3 linked regions of the Anolis sagrei genome follow. The protein of the gene in region 3 interacts with the protein of the main gene of each other region in a pairwise test. Links are inferred from orthologs where the notes say so. Each region holds a gene or a part of one and is shown on either strand. Other genes may lie near its edges.

Region 1 (7,650 bases), on a different chromosome or scaffold from region 3:
GCCACCCATTTTCTCGTGTCTTCAGCAACCTCTTTCTATGGATAAGCCCTTTGTGTGATACGTGTTATTCTTACATTGACGTATAGAAAAACGGTTGCCCCGCTCAATGGGGGGAAAGCAACAAAAAGGGAGCCAATAAAGGAAAGGGTCCAGTCTGCATTTCCTGCGTGAATGGCAGGGTCAGCGCCCTCGTTTCCAAAGCAAGGATGACAAGGGAGCCAAAAAGACAAAGCCACCCATGAGGCCGCTGGGCATTGTGTTTCCTGAATGAGCCAGAAAGAAAGGAAGGAAGGGATGAAAAGAGAGGAAGAAAAAAGGGGCTTCTCTCCAGCCCTCCATCTATCTATCTATCCATCCATCCATCCGCTGAGTTGGCACACTTTCCCCAGGCATGAATGGGGGCCCCCCTGCATGCGTGTGCGCTTTCCAATTCTGTCCCTTGCACGCACGCACAACACGGAAAGACTTTGGAGCCATCAGCAAATACTCCTACTAATAAAAAGGTAAAGGTCAAGGTTTTCCCCTTGACATGAAGTCCAGCCATGTCCGACTCTCGGAGTTGGTGCTCATCTCCATTTCTAAGCCAAAGAGCCGGCATTGTCCATAGACACCTCCAAGGTCATGCGGCTGGCATGACTGCATGGAGCACTGTTACCTTCCTGCTGAAGAGGTACTCACATTTGCATGTTTTTAAACTGCTAGGTTAGCAGAAGCTGGGGCTCATAGCGGAGCTCACCCCAATCCCCGGATTTGAACCGCCATCCTTTTATTCAACAAGATCAGCAGCTCAGCGATTTAACCCGCTGCACCACTGGGGCTCCTATTAATACTACTACTAATAATAATGGCACTATCTTTCATGAGAAAGAGAGAGGTGGAAAAGGGCACAAAGGTGTGTAAGAAGGAAGGAAGGAGAGAGAGAGAAGGAAAGAAGGAATGAAAAGAAGGAAGGAAGGAAGGAAAGAAAGAAAGGAGGGAAGAAAGAAGAGAAGGAAGGAAAGAAGGAAGGAGAGAAGGAAGGAAAGAAGGAGGGAAGGAAGGAGAGAAGGAAGAAAGGAGAGAGAGAAGGAAGGAAAGAAAGAAGGAGAGAAGGAAGAAAGGAGGGAGAGAAGGAAGGAAAGAAAGAAGGAAAGACAAAAGGAGGGAAGGAAGGAATAAGGATGGAGAGAAGGAAGGAAGGAGAGAAAGAAGAAAAGAGGGAGACTAGGAAGGAAGGAAGGAAGGAAGGAAGGAAGGAAGGAGAGAAGAAAGGAAAGAAGGAGGGAAGGAAGGAGAGAAGGAAGAAAGAAGGGAGAGAAGGAAGGATGGAAAGAAAGAAAGACAGAAGGAAGGAAGGAAGGAAGGAAGGAAGGAAAAATTAAGGATGGAGAGAAGGAAGGAAGGAGAGAAAGAAGAAAGAAGGGAGAGAAGGAAGGAAGGAAAAAAGGAGGGAGGGAAGGAAGGAAGGAAGGAAGAAGGAAGGAAGGAGTGAAGGAAAGAAAAAAGAAGGAAGGAAGAAGGAAGGAAGGAAGGAAGAAAAGAAGAAAGGAGAGGAAGGAAGAAAGGAGGGAGAGAAGGAAGGAAGGAAGGAAGGAAGGAAGGAAGGAAGGAAGGAAGGAAGGAAGGAAGGAGAGGCTCCTTTCCCTAAAGCCGGAAATACACATGATATGATATGGTATAATAAGATACGATAAAGGAGCCCCCAGTGGCACAGTGAGTTAAACCGCTGAGCTGTTGAACTTGCTGAGTGAAAGGTTGGTGGTTCGAATCCAGAGAGTGGAGTGAGGTCCTGCTGTTAGCCCAGCTTCTGCCAACCTAGCAGTTCGAAAACATACAAATGTGAGTAGATCAATAGTACTGCTTCAGCGGGAAGGTAAGGGTGCTCCATGTAGTTATGTCAGCCACTTGGCCTTGGAGGTGTCTACGGATAACTCTGGCTCTTCGGCTTGGAAATGGAGATGAGTACCAGCCTCCAAAGTTGGACACAACTGGACTTAATGTCAGGGGAAAACCTTTACCTTGTACTAAGATATGATATACCTATGAATTGGACCTCCGTCACAGATGCTGAAAGGCCTGGACCATCTAAAAGGGAAGAATAGCAGGCCTCCTCCTCCTCCATGGGCGCTCAAAAGCCTTAATAATATAAAAGGAAATAAGAGGTGTTTGTTAATGCCCTTAGACCACAGTTCATTTGCATACAAAACAAGTCAACACAACACAACACAATTGGCATCTAGATCTGGCCTAGTAACCTTCAATGGCATGAAAGGTGGGAGAGATGCCAATGTTTTGCACTGATTCGCTGCCAAAAAGGGCTGCTGCCAAGTCCGACCTCTTCCATGGACGCTAAAAGGAAATCATAGGAGAGTTCTTAAATGTTCTTAAAGGCCATAGAAGTCAATGCAAGGCAGCAGGCTCTCCCTTCATTCAAAGTATCTATAGGGTTAAGTAGATGGAGTAATAATAATAATAATAATAGTCTCTTAATTAACTGCCCCCCATGGGAATTGGTAGATATGCAATAATAATAATAATAATAATAATAATAATAATAATCTTTCAATCAACTGGCCCCCATGGGAATTGGTAGATATGACACAATAATAATAATAATAATAATAATAATAATAATAATAATAGTCTTTCAATTAACTGGCCCCCATGGAAACTGGTAGATATGCCATGATAATAATAATAATAATAATAATACTGTTTGGATCGTCGATGTTGCAATTCCAGGCGATAGCAGGATTGAAGAGAAAAAAAATGAGGATTTAAAGATCGATCTGCAAAGACTCTGGCCGAAGCCAGTCAAGGTGGTCCCAGTGGTGATTGGCACACTGGGTGCAGTGCCTCAAGACCTTGGCCTGCACTTAAACACAATCCGCGCTGACAAAATTATCATCTGCCAGCTGCAGAAGGCCTTTGAGGGGAATTTACCTTGATTTGAGGGAGTTGTAGTTCACCTATATCCAGGGAGCACTGTGAACCCAATGATGGATCTGGACCAAACTTGGCATGCATACCTGATATGCCCAAATTTGAATATTGGTGAGTTTTGAGGGGAATTCGTCTGTGTACTTTGGAGTTATAGATCCTGGGATTTATAGTTCACCTGCAATCAAGGAGTACTCTGAACTCCACCAATGACGGAATTTGACCATACTTGGCAAACAAAGCCCCCATGACCAGCAAAAAAAAACACTGGAGGCTTTGGAGGGATATTCACCTTGATTTGAGGGAGTTGTAGTTCACCTACATCCAGAGAGCACTAATGGATCTGGGCCAAACTTGGCACACAGACCTGATAGGCCGAAATTTAATGGCTGGAGGGGTTTGGGGGGAACTGACCTTCCTTTCTGCGGATTGGTAGATGCTATAAGAAGAAGAAGAATATATAATAATAATAATAGATTGTGAAGTGGGGCTTCTGATAGAAGTATCACAGCCCTAGACTCCAGTGGCTATTCTCCCGCCAAAAGTCTTGCAAGTGAAAGGCATTCTGGGAGTTGTAGTCCTTGAAGAAAGCGCCCTCCCTTCAGCCGGCCGTCTTCCCTCGCAAGGGCCACGCCTTCCCGCCTTCATCTCCCGGCGTCCTTAGCGCCTCGCTTTCTGCCTCATGCTTGAAGCCCCGCCCCCTTTCCTACCCTGCTTGTCTCCGCCCCCTTTCTCCTCTGTCTCGAAGCTCCACCCCTTTCCCAGTCTCCGCCCCTTTCCTCTCAGTCTCCTCCTCTTCCGGCCTGAAGTCCCGCCTTTTCCCTAATTCTCCTCCTGGGAAGCGAGATGGAAGTGTAAGTTGGAGGGAGGGAAGGAGGGGAAATGGCAGGAAAGCCAGGCCCAGGAGGCGAACCCGAGGGAATCTGAATTATTAATATGTATGTTTTGTTGCTTATAGAATTATTCATATTAAGCTATAGAGAGGAAATAGGATATATTAAGCCATAGAGAGGAGATGATGCTTCTACTATATATACATTTATATGTTCTATTTATATATGTATAACAGATTAAAATACAGAAATGTATATATTAATATATAATACATTATATATACTATACACATGTTAATATATATAGAGAGGTATATTACTTATATGCTTATATAGAATTCATATATATATATATATCACATTATATTAATATAATACTAAAATAATGTATGCAATATTATTTATATATGTATAACATTAAAATAAAGTAATGTATATATATATATAATACATAATATATACTACACACATATAAATGTATATAGAGAGGTATATTACTTAAATGCTTATATAGAATTCATGTATATACATATCACATTATATTAATATAATACTAAATATATGCAATATATGCTTTAATATATATTATATTAATCTGTATTAGAGAGGGATATTGCTTATATATGCATACATATCACATAATATATGCAATTATGTGATATCTATATATATAAGACATACATTATTTTAATATTAATATATAAAAATAATGTATCATATATATATATATACTTTAATGTATAGAGGGGATATTGATTAGATGCATATATATACACACACACACACACACACATACACATCACTTAATATATATTTATAATATATTAATATACATATATTAAAATAATGTATGTATAATATATATTGTTTAATGTACAGAGAGGGCTATTAATTAGATGCTTATATACATATATATTAATATAACAAAATAAAGTAATGTATGTATAATATATGTACTAACATTTATACATACATGTCACATATATATTAAAATTATATATATATATATATATATACACACATACATACATATACTGTATAGAGAGGGAGGGATAATGCTTATATGTCATATTATATATATACTATATTAATATATTAAAATGTATGTATTATATATATATATATACACTTTAATATATAGAGAGGGATATTGATGAGATGTTTACATACATATATGTACATATATATACACATACATATCACTTAATATATTAATATATAAGATAAAGCAATGTATGTATAATATATATATATATATATAAATTTTATATTATTAATTGTAATATCAATAATATGTAGGTTTTGTTGGTTCTTTTGCCGACCAAAAAGCCAACCACACACACACAGACATATATATCTATCTCCCCATAGGATTCCTCTTCATTCGAGCTTCCCAAGACTCCCAAAGAATTAAATATACAGTATAACATATATGGAGCAAAGCCACTGCTACGGCTGACGTGTCTTTGGGGTCAGCACAAAAAACGAAAACTCCCTTCTCAGCATATTTCCGGAAGGGGAGCCCCTCTTTTTTTTTGAATCCCCCCGATTTGTTTTTTTTAAAAAACAAAACACCAAAACAATGCGCCCAACCTGTGGAAGTTTGTGGAAGAGGCGGCGTGGAACTTGCCCCGAAAGTGATGAGCGCAGCGGGTTCGATTCAGAACTAAATCAAATACATTGTGCTTTTAGGTACGTGCGGGGCCCCCCGAGAAGCGCTTTTTGTGGCCGCCGCACTGTTGTTGTTTCTGCGCTCTTTGCTGGCTCAGCAGAAAAAAGGCCTTTGTCTCTGGGATGTATGGATGGATGGAGGGGGCCCTTCCGCACGGCCCTTCGGTGTTTTTGTTAATAGATAGATAGATAGATAGATAGATAGATAGATATGAACAAGATTCAGTTATGAACAAGATTCAGTCGGTTTGTTATTAAGGTGATCCATCATCTGTTAACTATCTATCTGTATCAATCCTCTCTCAACTATTTACCTTCTGTTAACTATCTATCTATCACCTGTCCGTCAATCATCTGCCAACTATATGTATCATCTGGTTTATTAATCATCTGCCAATTATTTATCTGTCTATCTTTCTATTATCTATCATCTGTCCATCAATCATCTACCAATTATCTATCTATGTATCTATCATCTGCCAACTATTTATCTATCATCTATCTATCATATGTCTATCAATCACCTGTCAACTATCTATCTATTAGTGTTTGTCTTCTCTCAACTCATTTTTCTATCTGTATTAATCATCTGTCAATCATCGAGCTATACAGATAAATCATCTCATATATCATCTATATCAATAATCTCTCAACTATCTTATCATCTGTCAACTATCATCTATTTATCAATGATTTGCCAACTATTATCTGTCTGTTTATCAATCATCTGTCAACAGTTTATCAACTATCAATTATCTGTCATCTATCTATCTATCTATCTGTTATCTATCAATCATCTATCGATTATCTGTCATCTATCTTTCATCTGCCTATCAATCTCCTGTCAACTATATTTCTGTTATGTTTCTATAACCTATCAATTATCTGTCAACTATCTATCTATCCATCTATTTATTATCTATCAATCATCTGTCAACAATCTGTCCTCTATCTTTCATCTGTCTATCAATCTCCTGTCAACGATCTTTCTGTTATGTTTCTATCATCTATCGATCATCTGTCAACTATCTTATCTTTCTATCTATAATTCTATTATCTTTAATCATCTGTCAACTATCTGTCATCTATCTTTCATCTGTCAGCTATCTTTGTTATGTTTCTATCTATTATCTATCAATCATCTGTCAACTATCTGTCAACTATCAATTATTTGCCAACTATCTATCATCTATCAATCATTTGTCTATCAATCACTTGTCAACTGTCTATCATCTATCTATCTTTTCATTTGTCTGGATTTTCCCAGCGTTCCTCTGGACACACATTATCTGACTTCAGCAAAATCTGGCTCGAAATGAGGAAGCTGCCCTTTAAGAAAATATCTCCTTTGGGCTTTGAAAACAGTCTGTCTTCTTGAGCCAGGATCGCCTGCATAAAGGCCTAATCCTGCCTGTTTGTTTTGTTGTGCAGGAAAGACGGAAATGCAGCCCTTCTGAGCAACTATGAGGTAAAACCATTTGTGGCATAATTAATTGGACTTCTGATGCCTTGTGTTTCATCTCTGCTCTGTGTATTTTCATATGCATTTTATCAAAGTACATTTCTATATGTGCATTTATAAGTTTTTACTATGTTTATGTGTTTTGATTATGCCGTAACCTGCCTTGAGCCAGGTTGCCCAAAGGCCCTCTCATAGAATGGCCATTTTGGAGCGTTTCGGATTCCCGGATAAGGGAGCTTCACAGTTGAAATGGGACCAAAGCGCTCTAAAAGTGCCATGCAGAACGGTCCCAGCAGAGGGTGGGAAACTCAACGGCGCCTCTCTTTTCCTGGCTTGGTTTACATAGCAATCGCGGATGGGAATGTTGTTGGAAAGTGCTTTGCGGCCCCCGTGAAAGAGCAAATCGGGTTTCCTTTCAGGTCTACCAGCTGCTGATGGACCTGAAGCAGCAGCGGCGAGAGATGGGGAAGAGCAAAGCGAGCGCCGGGCAGCAGAACCTGAACACCATCATGTACGAAGTGAGTCCTTTCGGGGGGTTCCTGGTATCCGTGGACATAGAAAACCCTCTGGTTTTGTTGCCTCTCTCTCTCACGCTATGTTTTCTTCCCTTGGAAAAATCCCCATTCTGACATGTGCGTATTCTTCCCGTTGATGACAGCATGCTTGTGCCGATGTGTTCGTTGTGAGCATCGTTGGGCACTTTTCTGTTGTCTCAGAAACTCCCTGCCATCCGAGTAAATGTGGGCGTCCTTGAACCAAGTCTTG
Region 2 (7,646 bases), on a different chromosome or scaffold from region 3:
CCCTTCCACATAGCCCTATATCCCAGAATATCAAGGCAGAAAATCCCACAATATCTGCTTTGAACTGGGTTATCTGAGTCCACACTCAGATAATTTGGGATTTCCTGCCTTGATATTCTGGATAAAGGGCTGTGTGGAAGAGTCCTGGGAGTTTTAGGCCAAAACACCTGGGGGCCCACAGGTTGAGAACCTCTGCCTTACATGAAACTGTAATTTAAGGTGAAACCCATAACTGATGGAATTATTATAACATTTATTCTTTAATATGAATGTATATGTGTTAGCCGCCTTGAATCCCCATGGAGAGAAATGTGGGATATAAATAAAGATGATAACAACAACAACAACAACAACAACAACAACAACTGATTCTGGCAGTCCAAGAACATGCCATTAGAACAAATGCCATCAAAGCCAGAATTGAAAAGTCGACAACAGATCCCAAATGTAGACTCTGCAAGGAAGCAGGTGAAACAATAGATCACATCATCAGCTGCTGCAAGAAGATCGCGCAGACAGACTACAAGCAGAGGCATAACACTGTTGCTCAGATTATTCATTGGAACTTGTGCCACAAATACCATCTGCCGGCCACAAAGAACTGGTGGGATCACAAGCCAGAAAAAGTTACAGAAAATGAACACGTCAAACTCCTCTGGGACTTCCGAATTCAGACAGAGTTTTGGAGCACAATACTCCTGACCTCACAATCGTGTTAAAAAACAAAGTATGGATTGTCGATGTTGCAATCCCAGTGACAGCAGGATTGAAGAGAAACAACTGGAAAAGCTGGCACAGTATGAGGATTTAAAGTTAGAACTGCAAAGACTCTGGCACAAGCCAGTCAAGGTGGTCCCAGTGGTGATCAGCACACTGGGTGCAGTGCCTAATCACCTTGGCCTGCACTTAAACACAATCAGCACTGACACAATTACCATCTGCCAGCTGCAGAAGGCCACCTTACTGGGATCTGCACACATTATTAGCCGATACATCACACAGTCCTAGACACTTGGGAAGTGTCCGACGTGTGATCCAATGCAACAGCCAGCAGAGTGATCTTGTCTGCCATTGACTTGTCTTGTTGTGTTTCAAATAACAACAACAACAACAACAACAATTTCAAATAGTCACCATAGCTACCATTAGCTGTTAAAGCAGGCAGGGGGTAACTTGGTCCCTCCAGGTGTTTTGGATCTCATCTCCCACCATTCCTAAGAGCCTTGGGCCCTTTAAGAGGCTGAGTGGGAAACGTATGGGGCCTGAGGATGTTAGGAATTGTAGGAGTCCAAAACACTTGGAGGGCCCAAGTTTGCCCATGTCTAACCTACACAGAACACCCTTCTCTCTTCCCTTGCAGATATTTTGCACAAGCTTCCAATGCATCTGTGCCAGCTGTTAGGAATGGTGGGAGCTGAAGTCCAAAACATTGGAGGGCTTGTTTGCCCAGGCCTGACCTACACAGTACACCCTTCTCTGTTCTCTTGCAGAGAGTTTGCACAATGCTTCTGTGCCGGCCAGGCCTGTAGCCAGGATTTTGTTTTGGGGGGAGCTGAGTTTGATTGGGGGGGGGGGGGGCTGAGTGAAAGAGGGTCTACCCTAGCAAACCTTTTGTATCGTTACCCCAATACCCCCATGCATATGGGATATATTGAGCATGGTGATCAGATCATGATATGAATAAACATAACAGTTTAAATAATGTACCAGTAAGGCCTCCTCGTGGACCAACATGAGAATTTGGGGGGGGGGGGGGCTGAAGCCCCTCAAGCCCCCCCCTCCCCCGGCTACGTGCTTGGTGCCAGCTATTAGGAATTGTGGGAGTTGAAGTCCAAAACACATGGAGGGCCCAAGTTTGACCATGCCTGTGTTAAAGGGCACATGTATTTTGGGGGACAGACTGTATAGATGTAATCAAAGTATTTATATTGTTTAGTCAACAGTGTGAGTTGGGGGGGGGGGGAGGACAATGACAAAATAACAGCCTCATGTGGGTGCATCTATACTGTAGCCAACTGTTAGGAACTGTGGGAGCTGAAGTCCAAAACACATGTAGGCCCAAAGGTTGGGAACCACTGTTGTAGAAATGGCCTCACAACCTCTGGGGATGCCTGCCATAGATGTGGGAGAAACGTCAGGAGAGAATGCTTCTGGAACATGGACATACAGCCTGGAAAGCTCACAGCAACCCAACAACTCATAGTTTTGTAACAGCTAAAGCAGTGGTTCTCAATCTGTGGTCCCCAGGTGTTTTGGCTTACAACTCCCAGAAATCCCAGCTGTTAGGATTTCTGGGAGTTGAAGGCCCAAACATCTGGAGACCCACAGGTTGAGAACCACTGAGCTAAAGTGTTGTTGAACTGCATTCATTTAGCAGCATGACGCACAGAGTGGGAGTGGGGTGAGGAGTAAAAGGGAAATAACAATAGCCTCCTATGGGTGCATCTACACTGTTGAATTAATGCAGTTTGACACCACTTTAGCTGCCATGGCTCAATGCTATGGAATCCTGGGAGCAGCAACTTCCAGAATCTCTCCCTCGCTAGTGTGGACGAGGATTATATAACCCACGTTGCAAGTTACTTTCTGAAGCTTTGGGTGAGCTCTGAAGACACACAACGTGGCGGGCAGAGGATGCCTCGGCTGCACCAGCAGGAAAGAGAGAGAGAGTTCTGCCTGGCCCAAGGGCAGCACTCACTGACTGTGTGTTTGGAAGCAAAGGGAGGGAGGAGGTTTTGAATTTACCACGACCCCTCGGCCACGGCTGCGTCGCGGCGCCTCTGCTGGGTTGGGGGCCTCGCCGATGCTTTGCCCGGCCATCTTCGGCGAAGGGAGCCTCGAGGAGAAAGGAAGAAGGGGAGAAAGGAAGGAAAGAAAGAAGAGGGAGAAGTGAAAAGATTAGGAGGGAAAGCGAGGGAAAGCGCTCAGCCTGGCCTTCTGCGCCTCTTTGCTGCGAGGAGGCGGGCTTAGGCGCCAGCCTCCAGACCCAGAGTGGAAAAGGAGGAGGAGGAAGGAAGGAAGGAAGGAAGGAGAAAGCGAAGGAGAAGCAAAGGAGGCGGCGCCTGCCTCGAGTTGGAGGGAAGGAGAAGGAGGGAAGGGAGGGAGGCAGGGGAAGGGGAAGGGAAGGAAGGAAGGTGGGAAGGGGAAGGATGGGAAAGGAAGGAAGGGGAGAGGGGGATGGAAGGGAAAGGGAAGGAAAGAGGTGAGAGAAGGAAGGAAAGGAAGGAAGAAGAAGGGAAAGGAAGGAAGGGGAGAGGGGGGTGGAAAGTAGGTAGGAAGAAAGGAAGGAAGGGGAGGACAAAGGGAGGGGAAGGAAGGAAGGTGGGAAGGGGAAGGATGGGAAAGGAAAGAAGGGGAGAGTTGGATGGAAAGTGTTAAGGAAGGAAGGGGAAGAGGAAGGAAAGGGAGCGGAAGGAAGGAAGGGAGAAAAGAAAGGAAGATGGGAAGGAAGGAGATGAGGGAAGGGAAAGGATGAGGAGGGGAAGGAAGGAAGGATGAGAAGGGAAGGAAGGATGAGAAGGGAAGGAAGGAATGAAGAAGGGAAAAGGAAGAAGGGAGGGAAGGGAAAGGAAGGAAGGGGAAGAGGAAGGAAGGAAGGGAGAAGAGAAAGGGAGATGGGAAAGAAGGAGATGAGTGAAGGGAGGGAGGGAAGGGAAAGTATGAGAAGGGGAAGGAAGGAAGGATGAGAAGGGAAGGAAGGAATGAAGGAGGGAAGGGAAGAGGAAGGAGGGAGGGAAGGGAAGGGAAAGGAAGGAAGCGGAGAGGGGGAAGCAAGGAGGGGAAGGAAGGGAAAGGAAGGAAGGTGGGTAGGAAGTTAAGGAAGGAGGTGAGGGAAGGAAGGGGAAGGAGGGAAGGGGGGCACATGGGAAGAAAGAAGAGGAAGGAAGGAAAGAAAAGGAAGGCAAGGAAAGGTGCCTCCATGCCAGACATGGACCAACTTCAGCTTTCCCTCTAGGTGTTTTGGACTCCAATTTGTTCATTTTGGCATCTGCTCCTTCCTTAGTTGAGAGATGTCTTAGTTGCATCCCATTTAGATTTAGATCCTGCACCTCTTTCTCAACTCAGAAAGGGGTCTTTTAACCACAGCTACTTCCTCTGTTGAGAGAGACACAGGCAGCCTGGTTATATGGAGCCATATCACTTTCTTGGCTTAGGAGACTCCCTCTTTGGACCTGTTAGCAAAGTGTGTAGTGGATTACTGTAAGTTTTCCAGGCAGTATGGCCATGTTCCAGATGTACTTTCTCCTGACGTTTCGCCCACATCTATCGCAGCCATCCTCAGAGGTTGAAAGGTCTGTTGGAAACTTGGACAAGTGGGGTTTATATATCTGTCTTGTTACAGGCAGAAATACAGAGAAGTCTGGTGCAGAACTTCAAGAACCGAGAATAACAGCTCAGTAAAGGCTGTTCTGAACACTGATTTGCCATCGTGTCAGAAGCAAATTGAGGATACAGTTGTAATGTATTTAAAAGTGCAAACAAAGTAAAAAGCTTGGCACTTGGGAGTGCCTCTGGTGTTTCTGCAAGAAGGTCCTCCATTGTGTATGTGGCAGGACTCAGGCTGCATTGTAATAGGTGGTCTGTGGTTTGCTCTTGTCCACACTCGCATGTTGTGGACTCCACTTGGTGGCCCCATTTCTTAAGGTTGGTTCTGCATCTCAAGGTGTCAGAGCGCAGTCCTTGAAGTGACTGGCTTGACCTTGAAGGAGCTGAGGATGGTGACGGCCGACAGGGAGCTCTGGCGTGGGCTGTTTCATGAGGTCACGAAGAGTCAGAAGCGACTGAACAAATGAACAACAACAATGACTTCTAGAAAGAAGGCAGGTAGAAAAACACCTTGAGTTACATAGATCTAGGAAACAGTTTGAAAACAAGGCAAGAAAGCATTAGGGAGTCCTGTAACAAAGTTGGGTAACTTTCTTTTGTCTATCCATCCCTTTATATGAGGTGTATACCCGCAACAATAAAAGTGGGTTTGTTACCTTTTTGAACCATACCAGAACATCCAGCATATTTTATTTCCTGTTTCCTACTACAAGCTCGAATATAACACTGGTTAAGCTGCACTCCGCAATAGATACCATATGTACCTTTAATGAGTTCTAGGTGAACTGATAATAAGGTAGGCTAAGAATCTCAGGTGGTTTTATGTGGTTATTATGCGAGTCAATATATGCCAAGCAGCAACAAGAGTCATATCGCCCCATAAAATTAACTTGGCATTTGTTCTTGGTAGTCCCTTGGTTCTAATAAAAGGAAGAATTCTAATGAAAATCAGTTGTGTTTATTCACCTTTGTTCCCTTTGCTATACCAAAAGGGTGTATGAGTTGGCAATTCTGATCGCTGGCTGTTCTTTTACATACAAATATAGATGGAGCGACATTCTTAAGATTCCCTAAAATGTATTTTGTCAAACTTCCTGGAGAGTGAAAGCACGGAATGTTTTCCTTGTGTCTGTAGCTCAAATGGTTTTCATTATACCATTTCCCCCCTCCTATATAATCAGCAGTACCGATGACCAGGGTTGTCAGGTGTCTTCCTGAAAAATAAGGGACATGGGGGAGGGGGGGCTTGTGGGCCAGGGACTTCAATGGACAGGACTTCTGCCCCTCCCCCCCCCAACTCCTCCTTAGCAATTGACATCTCTGTCCCCTCCTTGCCTTCAGGTCAAATACCAAGGAGGAGGCCGAGGTCCCAGAACATCCCAGGCAATCATCCCCTGGAATGTGGGATATTTTCCCGCAATAAGGGACTGCCCTTTAAGATCTAGTAAGCCTGGCAAGCCTGGTGATGACCTTCATGAAAAAGTACACTTCTGTTTTAAGTGGAAAGAGATAGGACTGCTTTATGTTTGATTTGAGAGACACTTCCATGAACATCAAACAGGAAGAAGTGCCTTGTTCTCTTTCGGTGTTCAAGAAGACTGGGGGCTCTTCCACACAGCCCTATATCCCAGAATATCAAGGCAGAAATTCCGAGTGTGGACTCAGATAACCCAGTTCAAAGCAGATATTGTGTGATTTCCTGCCTTGATATTCCGGGATATAGGATTGTGTGGAAGGGCCCTGGAAAGTCTAGGTGAACAGTACATACAATCAAAATGCCAAATGTACCTGGAACAGAATCAGCTTCCTGAAAAACACTCCCATACCTTTCAGCAATGAGTGCATACAACAGCCTGGTCTCACATGATACACTCTAGATTTATTGGACTGTAATTCCCATAGATCATGAAACTGAATTGCCAATAAAAGTGGTGCCAGTCTGCATTAATTCTACACCTTTAGAGGCATTTTTGACACATGCATCCAGCTTTTCTTTCCCTGAAGAAAAAACTGGGGAAAGTATATATATGCCTTACCAATATCCCAACAGAGGGGGAGGCAGGCATTTGACTAGGTACACAAGGGGATTTCATCTTCCCTTCATAATGTTCAAATTGATTGAAGAGCCTGGTTGGATGAAACCATTCAATGATGTCCTCTGAACACACAAGAGAAATGTCCTCCAGAGGTCATTTTGGTACAATTTAGAGTATTTTGACCCCTGATGGTCACAAAGAGTCCTAGTAGTGTCTGTGGACCCTTCCACACAGACCAATATCCCAGAACATCAAGGCAGAAAATCCCACAATATCTGCTTTGAACTGGGTCATCTGAGGGCCCTTCCACACAGCCCTATATCCCAGAATATCAAGGCAGAAAATCCTATCTGAGTGTGGACTCAGATAACCCAATTCAAAGCAGATATTCTGGGATTTCCTGCCTTAATATTTTGGGATACAGGGCTGTGTGGAAGGACCCTGAGTCCACTCAGATAATGTGGGATTTTCTGCCTTGATATTCTGGGATATAGGGCTGTGTGGAAGGACCCAAAGACCCAATGAGTTGCACTTGTCCACCATCACTTTAAATGTCACTAAACAATAATGAAAAGAAGGAATCTTAGGGCAGAAAATCCCATATCATCTGCTTTCAACTGGGTTATCTGAGTCAACACTCAGAAAATGTGGGATTTCCTGCCCTGATATTCTAGGATATAGGGCTGTGTAGAAGGGCCTTTAGCCACACACTGCTGTTTCAAGTCACTGCCATTATAAGAACTCAAATCCTTTTCTTTCTGATCTATTAGCTTGTGTTATCCAGGAGGTCTACGAAAGTGGTATGCAGAGGTCATTTCACACTGTAATATAATCCAGAATATCAAGGCAAATAATCCACACTATCTGCTTTGAATGGGATTATCTGAGTAAACTGCCATATAATCAAAGCAGATAATCTGCATTTTATAAAGCTCTGTAGAAGGGGCCAGTGTTGCTATGCCATGTGCAGATTTCAGCATCATAACAGGAACGTTATCATGATTAGATTTTTATTGCCAAGAATGAGGAAGGATCTTTATGAATTGTTTTGACTTTTGAACCCAAATCATTCTGTTGGCACTGAGTTCTATTGACTATCTCAGTGGGTGGAGGATGTCATTTGTTATGTGCTGAGATTTTATTTTATTTTCTTGTCAGGAGCAACTTGAGAAACTGTCTAGATGGTGAAATATCTTGGGCTGGCCCTGGGTATACAACATATAGCACAAGTTTATGCATATTTAACAGAAAAGTCAGCCTTACTGGATTCAAGTAGAGTTGCAC
Region 3 (7,027 bases):
GACACCAGAGGCACTCCAAGTGGCCAGCTTTTGGTCAAAGGAAAATTAGTATAACGCCAAGTTTTTAACTTTGTGGCTTTTTTATACATTAAAAGTGTATTCTTAATTTGCTTCCGACATGATGAAAAAACCGAAACAAACTACAGTACACTATTACTGCATTTGTGGTCACACAATGAATATTTAGAGGAGTAGTTCTCAACTTGTGGATCCCCAGATGTTTTGGCCTTCAACTCCCAGAAATCCCAACAGCTGGTAAACAGGCTGGGATTTCTGGGAGTTGTAGGCTAAAACACCTGGGGACCTACAGGTTGAGAACCACTGATTTATATCAATCTTACTCAACATGCTCCCCCAATACACTCATGACAACTCCATTATGGATGAAGATGATGGTATTTATAATTTAACACAACTATATGAAGGATATAATGTTGAGAAAAACTGATAATCCATCAACTGCATAGCACAGATATTTATATTTCTTGGCATCATTAATAACCTATGGTTATTAATAAAGTGATGGGATGTGGGTGTCCTATTTATCCTGTCTAAATGAGACCACTTGAAGAAATACTTCTAGTTCAGCAAACTGACTAGTCCACTAATGTTGTCTACCAAATGACTACTTTGTTCTGAAAATTTTAGGCACTTTGATTTCAAACAGATTTCAGTGCTGCTACATTTAAGAAACATGTTGAAGGATTTTTTCAAAGAACTGTGTTAATAAGTATAGAATTTGTTGAGCAAAAGATTTAGGAACCCAGAGATCAAAGGATTATATTTCTGGATAGTGAAAGGTCTACTAAACTGCAGGGTAGCATAAAATATATTAATATGTGTTGCAGCAACTAACTATGATGCGTACTTGTTGAATCCCTTTTCTTAAGAATTTAAATTGATCCACTTTGTGAGATACAAATACCCCACTTAGATTAGTACCGGATATTCCAAGGAAAGAAAACAAATAAAACATGACACTGCCTGATTAGTACCTAGCTTTGACACGCACCAGCCTCAGGGCCAATCACCTTATTTTGACCTCTTCAAGCATGCCTGTTTAGTGATTACACTCTCAAAAGAGGGGCAGACAGTACTTAAGTCTGCCTGGAAGCCTCAGCACATGACTTAAAAGCCATCTCCTTTGTTTTAGATCTCGTTTGCTGTGACATGCTGTGGTTTTGTGTCAGATAATAATAATAATAATTTTATTCCCACGTTTTGTCATGGCTTGAGGTCAGTTTCCAAACAATTAAAATATATAAGCATAGCAAAAACACTACAAATGCACACACTAAAATGCACCTACACAAAAGTTACACATGAAATCGAATCTCTACAAAATACATACTAAAACATACAAAACAGAGATCAAGCAAAGGATACTTAAAAGTCATGTTTAAAGACTGAGTAGGCCTGCCAGAAGAGATAAGTCTTCACTCATGTCTTAAACGACTGGCAGGTCGTCCCACAGACTTGGGGTGGCTGATGAAAAGGTCCTCTGGGTAGTGGCTGCCAGTTGGGTTCTGGCTGGTTGGAGCAGACACCCCCCAGAAGACCAGAGTGTGTGGGGCGGATTGAATGGGAGAAGGCAATCCTTTGGGTAAACTGGACCCAAACCATGTAGGGCTTGAAAAGTCAAAACCAAAACCTTGCACTTTGCTTGGAAACTAATTGGCAGCCAGTGGAGTGACTTTAGGATGGGTGTGATATGCTCACTCCTAGATGTTCCTGTAACCAATCTGGCTGCTGTATTTTGAATCAGCTGGAATTTCCGAACTTGGTACAAGGATAGCTCAATGTAAAGCACGTTGAGGTTACTATGCTACTCTGCTGCTGAGTATGCATGCCCAGTGTGGAACACATCTCACTATGCTAAAACAGTAGATGTGGCTCTTAATGAGACATGCCGCATTATCATGGGGTGTCTACGCCCTACACCACTGGAGAAATTACACTGTTTAGCAGGTATTGCACCACCTGACATCTGCTGGGAAGTAGCAACCAATAGTGAAAGGACCAAGGCAGTGACATCTCCAGCTCATCCCCTGTTTAGATATCAGCCAGCACATCAACGACTTAAATCAAGAAATAGTTTTCTAAGATCTACAGAGACACTCACTGGAACACTTCAGCAAGCGAGAGTCCAAAAGTGGCAGGCTCAAACCCAGAACCTCAACCAATGGCTGATACCAAATAAAAGCACACAGAAAACTGGGCGACTTGGAAGGTGTTGAACAGACTGCGCTCTGGCACCACGAGTTGCAGAGCCAACCTTAAGAAATGGGGCCGCAAAGTGGAATCCACGACATGCGAGTGTGGAGAAGAGCAAACCACTGACCACCTGCTGCTATGCAACCTGAGCCCTGCTACATACACAATGGAGGACCTTCTTATAGTAACACCGGAGTGGCCAGGTACAGGTCAAAGGCCATTTAATCAACTACCAAGGTTGCAAACTTTGTGTTCTGTTTGTTTGTTAAAAAATGCAATGCAACTGTTTGGTCTGTTCCTGACACGATAAATAAATATATCTGGCAGTGTGGACACGTATAATCCAGTTTAAAGCAGAACACCCCCCAGATTATCAAGACAGATAACCCACAATGAGGCCCCCTCCACACATTGAACTGGATTACCTGAGTCCACACTGCCATCTAATCCAGTTCAATGTGTGGAAGGGGCCTCAGTCTTGTCTTTCAGCTTTTTGTTGCTGTTTCCCTCCCCGTGGGCCTGAAGTCACAGCCTCTTCTCTCTTCCTCCCTCTGCTCCCTTCCCTTCCTTCTTCCTCACCGAAGACGCCCTGCACGATGCTGAGGGGGCAGTTCAGCCAGTCCGCCACACACGGCATTTCCCCGCTTCTGGGAAGTCTTCAGGCCGGGGACAAGAAGCGGAAACGGAGGCACGAATGGCTCCAAACACGGAGGAAGCAAACAAGCCGAGTGTCTGCTCCCTTCCTCCTCCTCCTTCTCAGGGCTGAGGCGATGGCAGCGTAAGCCACGCCTCTTCCTCTCTGCTCAGCGCGGGCTCAGGTTGGCGCGAGAGGAAAGCGGAAGTCGGTCGCGGCGCCATCTTGGATTCGGGCGGAAGAGGCCGGCCGGAAGCGCTGAGGGACAGAAAGAGACAGAAAGCGAAGGCTGAGACGTGGACTGTGGAGAGAGTGAGACATGGCTGCCCCGAAAGCCTCCGTGGCCGCGGGAGGCCTCTCCTCCGGCGCGAATAGCGGCACCAACTTGCTCTTCTCTTCGTCAGCGACTGAGTTCAACTTCACCGTCCCCTTCATCCCGGTCAGCCAGGCCCCAGCGCCGCCCCCGCCGCCTCCTCCTGGCCTCCTGCCCTCAGGTGAGCCCAGACCCAAGAAGGAGAAGGCGGCCTTGGAGCGGAAAGCATCGCGCCTCCGGGGATGCTTGTTATGTTAGACCTCTTCCACACAGCGGAATAAATCCCCAAATTATCTGCTTTGAACTGGGATATGTGGCAGTGTGGACTCAGATAACCCAGTTCAAAGAAGATCTTGTGGGATTTTCTGCCTTGATATTCTGGGTTATATGGCTGTATGGAAGGACCCTGTGAATGTCAATCTATATCAGTGGTTCTCAACCTGGAGGGGTCACGAGGGAGTGTCAGAGGGGTCACTAAAGACCACCAGAAAACACAGTATTTTCTGTTGGTAATGGGGGTTCTATGTGGGAAATTTGGCCCAATTCTGTCGTTGGTGGGGTTCAGAATGCTCTTTCATTGTAGGTGAGCTACAAATCCCAGCAACTACAACTCCCAAAATGTCAAGGACTATTTCCCCCAAACTACAACAGTGTTCACATTTGGGCATATTGAGTATTTGTGCCAAGTTTGATCCAGATCCATCATCGTTTGAGTCCACGGTGCTCTGGATGTAGGCGAACTACATCCCCAAAACTCAAAGTCAATGCCCACCAAACCCTTCCAGTATTTTCTGTTGGCCATGGGAGTTCAGTGTACCAAGTTTGGTTCAGTTCTATCGTGCAGAATGCTCGTTGATTGCAGGTGAATTACAAATCCCAGCAACCACAACTCCCAAATGACAAAATCAAGCCCCCCCCCCCAAACCCACCAGTATTCAAATATGGGCGTATCAAGTATTTGTGCCAAATTTGGTCCAGTGAATGAAAATACATCCTGCATATCAGATATTTACATTAGGCTTGGTAACAGTAGTAAAATGACAGTTATGAAGTAAGAAGGAAAATAATTTTATGGTTGGGAGTCATCACAACATGAGGAATTGTATTAAGGGGTCACAGCATGAGGAAGGTTGAGAACCCCTGATCTATGTAAATACAAATGTGATGTTAGTTTGTGGGATTAACAGAACTCAAAAACCACTGGACGAATTGACACCAAATTTGGACACAAGACACTTAACAACCCAATGTATGTCCTTCACTCAAAAAAAATTGATCTTGTCATTTGGGAGTTGTAGTTGCTGGGATTTATAGATCACCTACAATCAAAGAGCATTCTGAACCCCACCAACCATGGAATTGAACCAAAATTGGCACCCAGTTCTCTCATGAGCAACAGAAAATACTGGAAGGGTTTGGTGGGCAGTGTCCTTTGGTTTTGGAGTTGTAGTTCACCTACATCCAGAGAGCACTGTGGACTCAAACAAGGCTTTGCTCCTTCCTGGAGGATTGTACCCAGATGGTGATGCTGAGGAACACCTGTTTCGATCCCTGGAGATTGACCTGTGGGGTCCTGCAAGGTTCCATTCTTTCCCCCATGCTTTTCAATATCTACATGAAACCGCTGGGTGAGGTCATCCAGAGTTTTGGAATTGGGTGTCATCTCTATGCAGATGATACACAACTCTTCTACTCTTTTCCACCCCAGTCCAAGGAAGCTTCCCAGATCCTGGACCAGTGTCTGGTAGCTGTGATGGATTGGATGAGGGCCAACAAGCTGAGACCTCATCCTAACAAGACAGAGGTTCTTCTGGTCAGTTGCGAGACCAATTGGGGCATAGGGTGACAACCTGTGCTCAACGGGGTTACACTTCCCTTAAGACACAGGTCTGCTGTCTGGGGGGTCCTCCTGGACTCATCATTGACACTTGAAGCTAGGTGTTGGCAGTGGCCGGGAGGGCCTTCACACAATTAAAACTTGAGTGCCAGCTGCAACTGTACCTCGAAAAGCATGACTTGGCCATGGTAGTCCATGCCCGAGTTACATCTAGAGTGGACTATTATGATGCACTCTACGTGAGGTTCAGAAATTTCAATTAGTGCAAGATCAGCTGCCAGATTACTAACTGGAGCTAGCTATAGGGAACATACTGTGCCCCTATTAAAGCTGCTTCATTGGCTTCTGATAATTTTCTGGGCTCAATTCAGTTCTAGCTTAAAAACGTGGATTTTTGAACAGGTAGTTTCGCTTTGCATAGGCTGAAATGGTCCTATATTAGAATGACACTTTGGCACTTTAGTTGTGTATTCATGGTAGCTAGTTTTAACCATTGATGGGAATTGTTTTTAAATTGTGGATTTTATTTTATGTGTTGATAGTGGTTTATAACTTTTATGTGAAATTGTTTTATACTCATGTACTGTTGATGTTTATACTGCACTTGCAGTGCCTTTTTAGCCTCCCTGAGTCCCTTTTTGGGAGATGGGAGGTGGGATATAAATAACAATTATATTATTATTAGTATTATTAGTTTCAGAATAATATGCTGTCATATTATCCAGTTCAGTGTGTTGCTCAAGATTTTTACTAATGATACTTTATGAATGTTCATTATATGAGTGTATGAATGTTCATTATAGTAAATGATTTTTACAGAGGAAAGTTGATATTGTTGAGCTAGTGGAGCTAGAAATTGTGTTCCTGCTCTGTGACAGCTTTAAAAAAGTGAGTAGCAGTACAGTTAGTTTAGAAGTGTGTTTTCAGATGTCAACACTTCTTGCTTCCAGCAGCGAATGTCTTTATAGGATTCTTTGTATGTACGTGTTGCATATTTGAATAATTGTAATAATTGGGCTTTGTGGGAGTGGCCACTTTTAATTTGTGTAGGATTGCTATGTTCTTCCCCCTCTTGTTACATTAATTATTGATCTATAGTTTTTCCTGATACCTGCGTTCCTTAAGTACAGGGACTCAACATGTGGGGATATATTTGAGCTGTCCATGCTTGCTGAAGTGAAATATTTCTACTAATTAAATTAAAGAAAATGTAACTTCAACACCAGATTTGAGGGCGGATTTGTTTGTTACTGAGTTTATAAAACCCAACATTCAGTGTTTTGGTAGAAGCAAAACATTTTTCTAGAATTCCTCATATTTACTCGAGTCTAATTGCTAATAAATCTAATATGCACCTCAGTTTTCAAATCCTTGAAACCAAAAAAAAAATTAAATTGCTGGCAAATGTAATGTGTAGTGGCAAAAGGCATTCTTTGTCATTTGGCCAAAAGTGCACATTAGGGTGCATACTTATCATTCCCTCTTTAAAAATAAAAGTGTTGGAACACCAAAGCTTTCAGCAATGGAAAAGATATCCTTTGTAGTTTATTCATTCAGTCGCTTCTGATTCTTTGTGACCTCACGGACCAGCCAAGGCCAGAGCTCCCTGTTAGCTGTGGCCACCCCCAGTTCCTTCAAAGTCAAGCCAGTCACTTAAATGATACCATCCATCCATCTTGCTTTTGGTTGGCCCCTCTTCTTTTTTCCTAAGATGTCCTAAGATATCTTTGGGATGGATCTGTGCTGTAGAATAAATCCACTTTGACTGCCTTGGCTCAGTGCTATGGGGTCATTAGGGCTGTAGTTTGGAATCATGGGGGCTGCCAAAGAATGCTGATGCCTCACCAAACTACAAATTCCAGGATTGCATAGCATTAAGCCATGACAGTTAAATTAGAGATGACATCCATCTCCTAAATTGAATTCCCCTTTTGCTTTAGCTTAACACTAAGATTAGCATATCTAATGTGCACCCCAATTTTGGGAAAATAATGTAGCCAAAAAAGGTGAGCATTAGATTTGAATAAAA

What was found.
Region 1: the proteins of MCMBP (region 3) and ASL interact in binary tests that used the Homo sapiens proteins (3 or more experiments, as listed by UniProt). The two-hybrid records come from large-scale screens. The link is inferred for Anolis sagrei from reciprocal best matches to the Homo sapiens genes MCMBP and ASL.
Region 2: the proteins of MCMBP (region 3) and PRTFDC1 interact in binary tests that used the Homo sapiens proteins (3 or more experiments, as listed by UniProt). The two-hybrid records come from large-scale screens. The link is inferred for Anolis sagrei from reciprocal best matches to the Homo sapiens genes MCMBP and PRTFDC1.

What each region holds. Positions count from the first base shown.
Region 1 is NC_090031.1:27,643,197-27,650,846, reverse strand, and holds the start of ASL (argininosuccinate lyase), read right to left. Parts: upstream 3,073-7,650; 5' UTR 2,923-3,072; intron 2,116-2,922; 5' UTR 2,020-2,115; intron 1-2,019. Other genes in the region: CRCP (DNA-directed RNA polymerase III subunit RPC9), read left to right, coding at 3,766-3,773, 6,855-6,891, 7,305-7,403.
Region 2 is NC_090026.1:109,359,283-109,366,928, forward strand, and holds the start of PRTFDC1 (phosphoribosyltransferase domain-containing protein 1), read right to left. Parts: upstream 3,073-7,646; 5' UTR 2,821-3,072; coding exon 2,746-2,820; intron 1-2,745. UniProt on the Homo sapiens protein: Has low, barely detectable phosphoribosyltransferase activity (in vitro). Binds GMP, IMP and alpha-D-5-phosphoribosyl 1-pyrophosphate (PRPP). Is not expected to contribute to purine metabolism or GMP salvage.
Region 3 is NC_090023.1:201,874,408-201,881,434, reverse strand, and holds the start of MCMBP (mini-chromosome maintenance complex-binding protein), read right to left. Parts: upstream 3,010-7,027; 5' UTR 2,852-3,009; coding exon 2,794-2,851; intron 1-2,793. Other genes in the region: SEC23IP (SEC23-interacting protein), read left to right, coding at 3,168-3,342. UniProt on the Homo sapiens protein: Associated component of the MCM complex that acts as a regulator of DNA replication.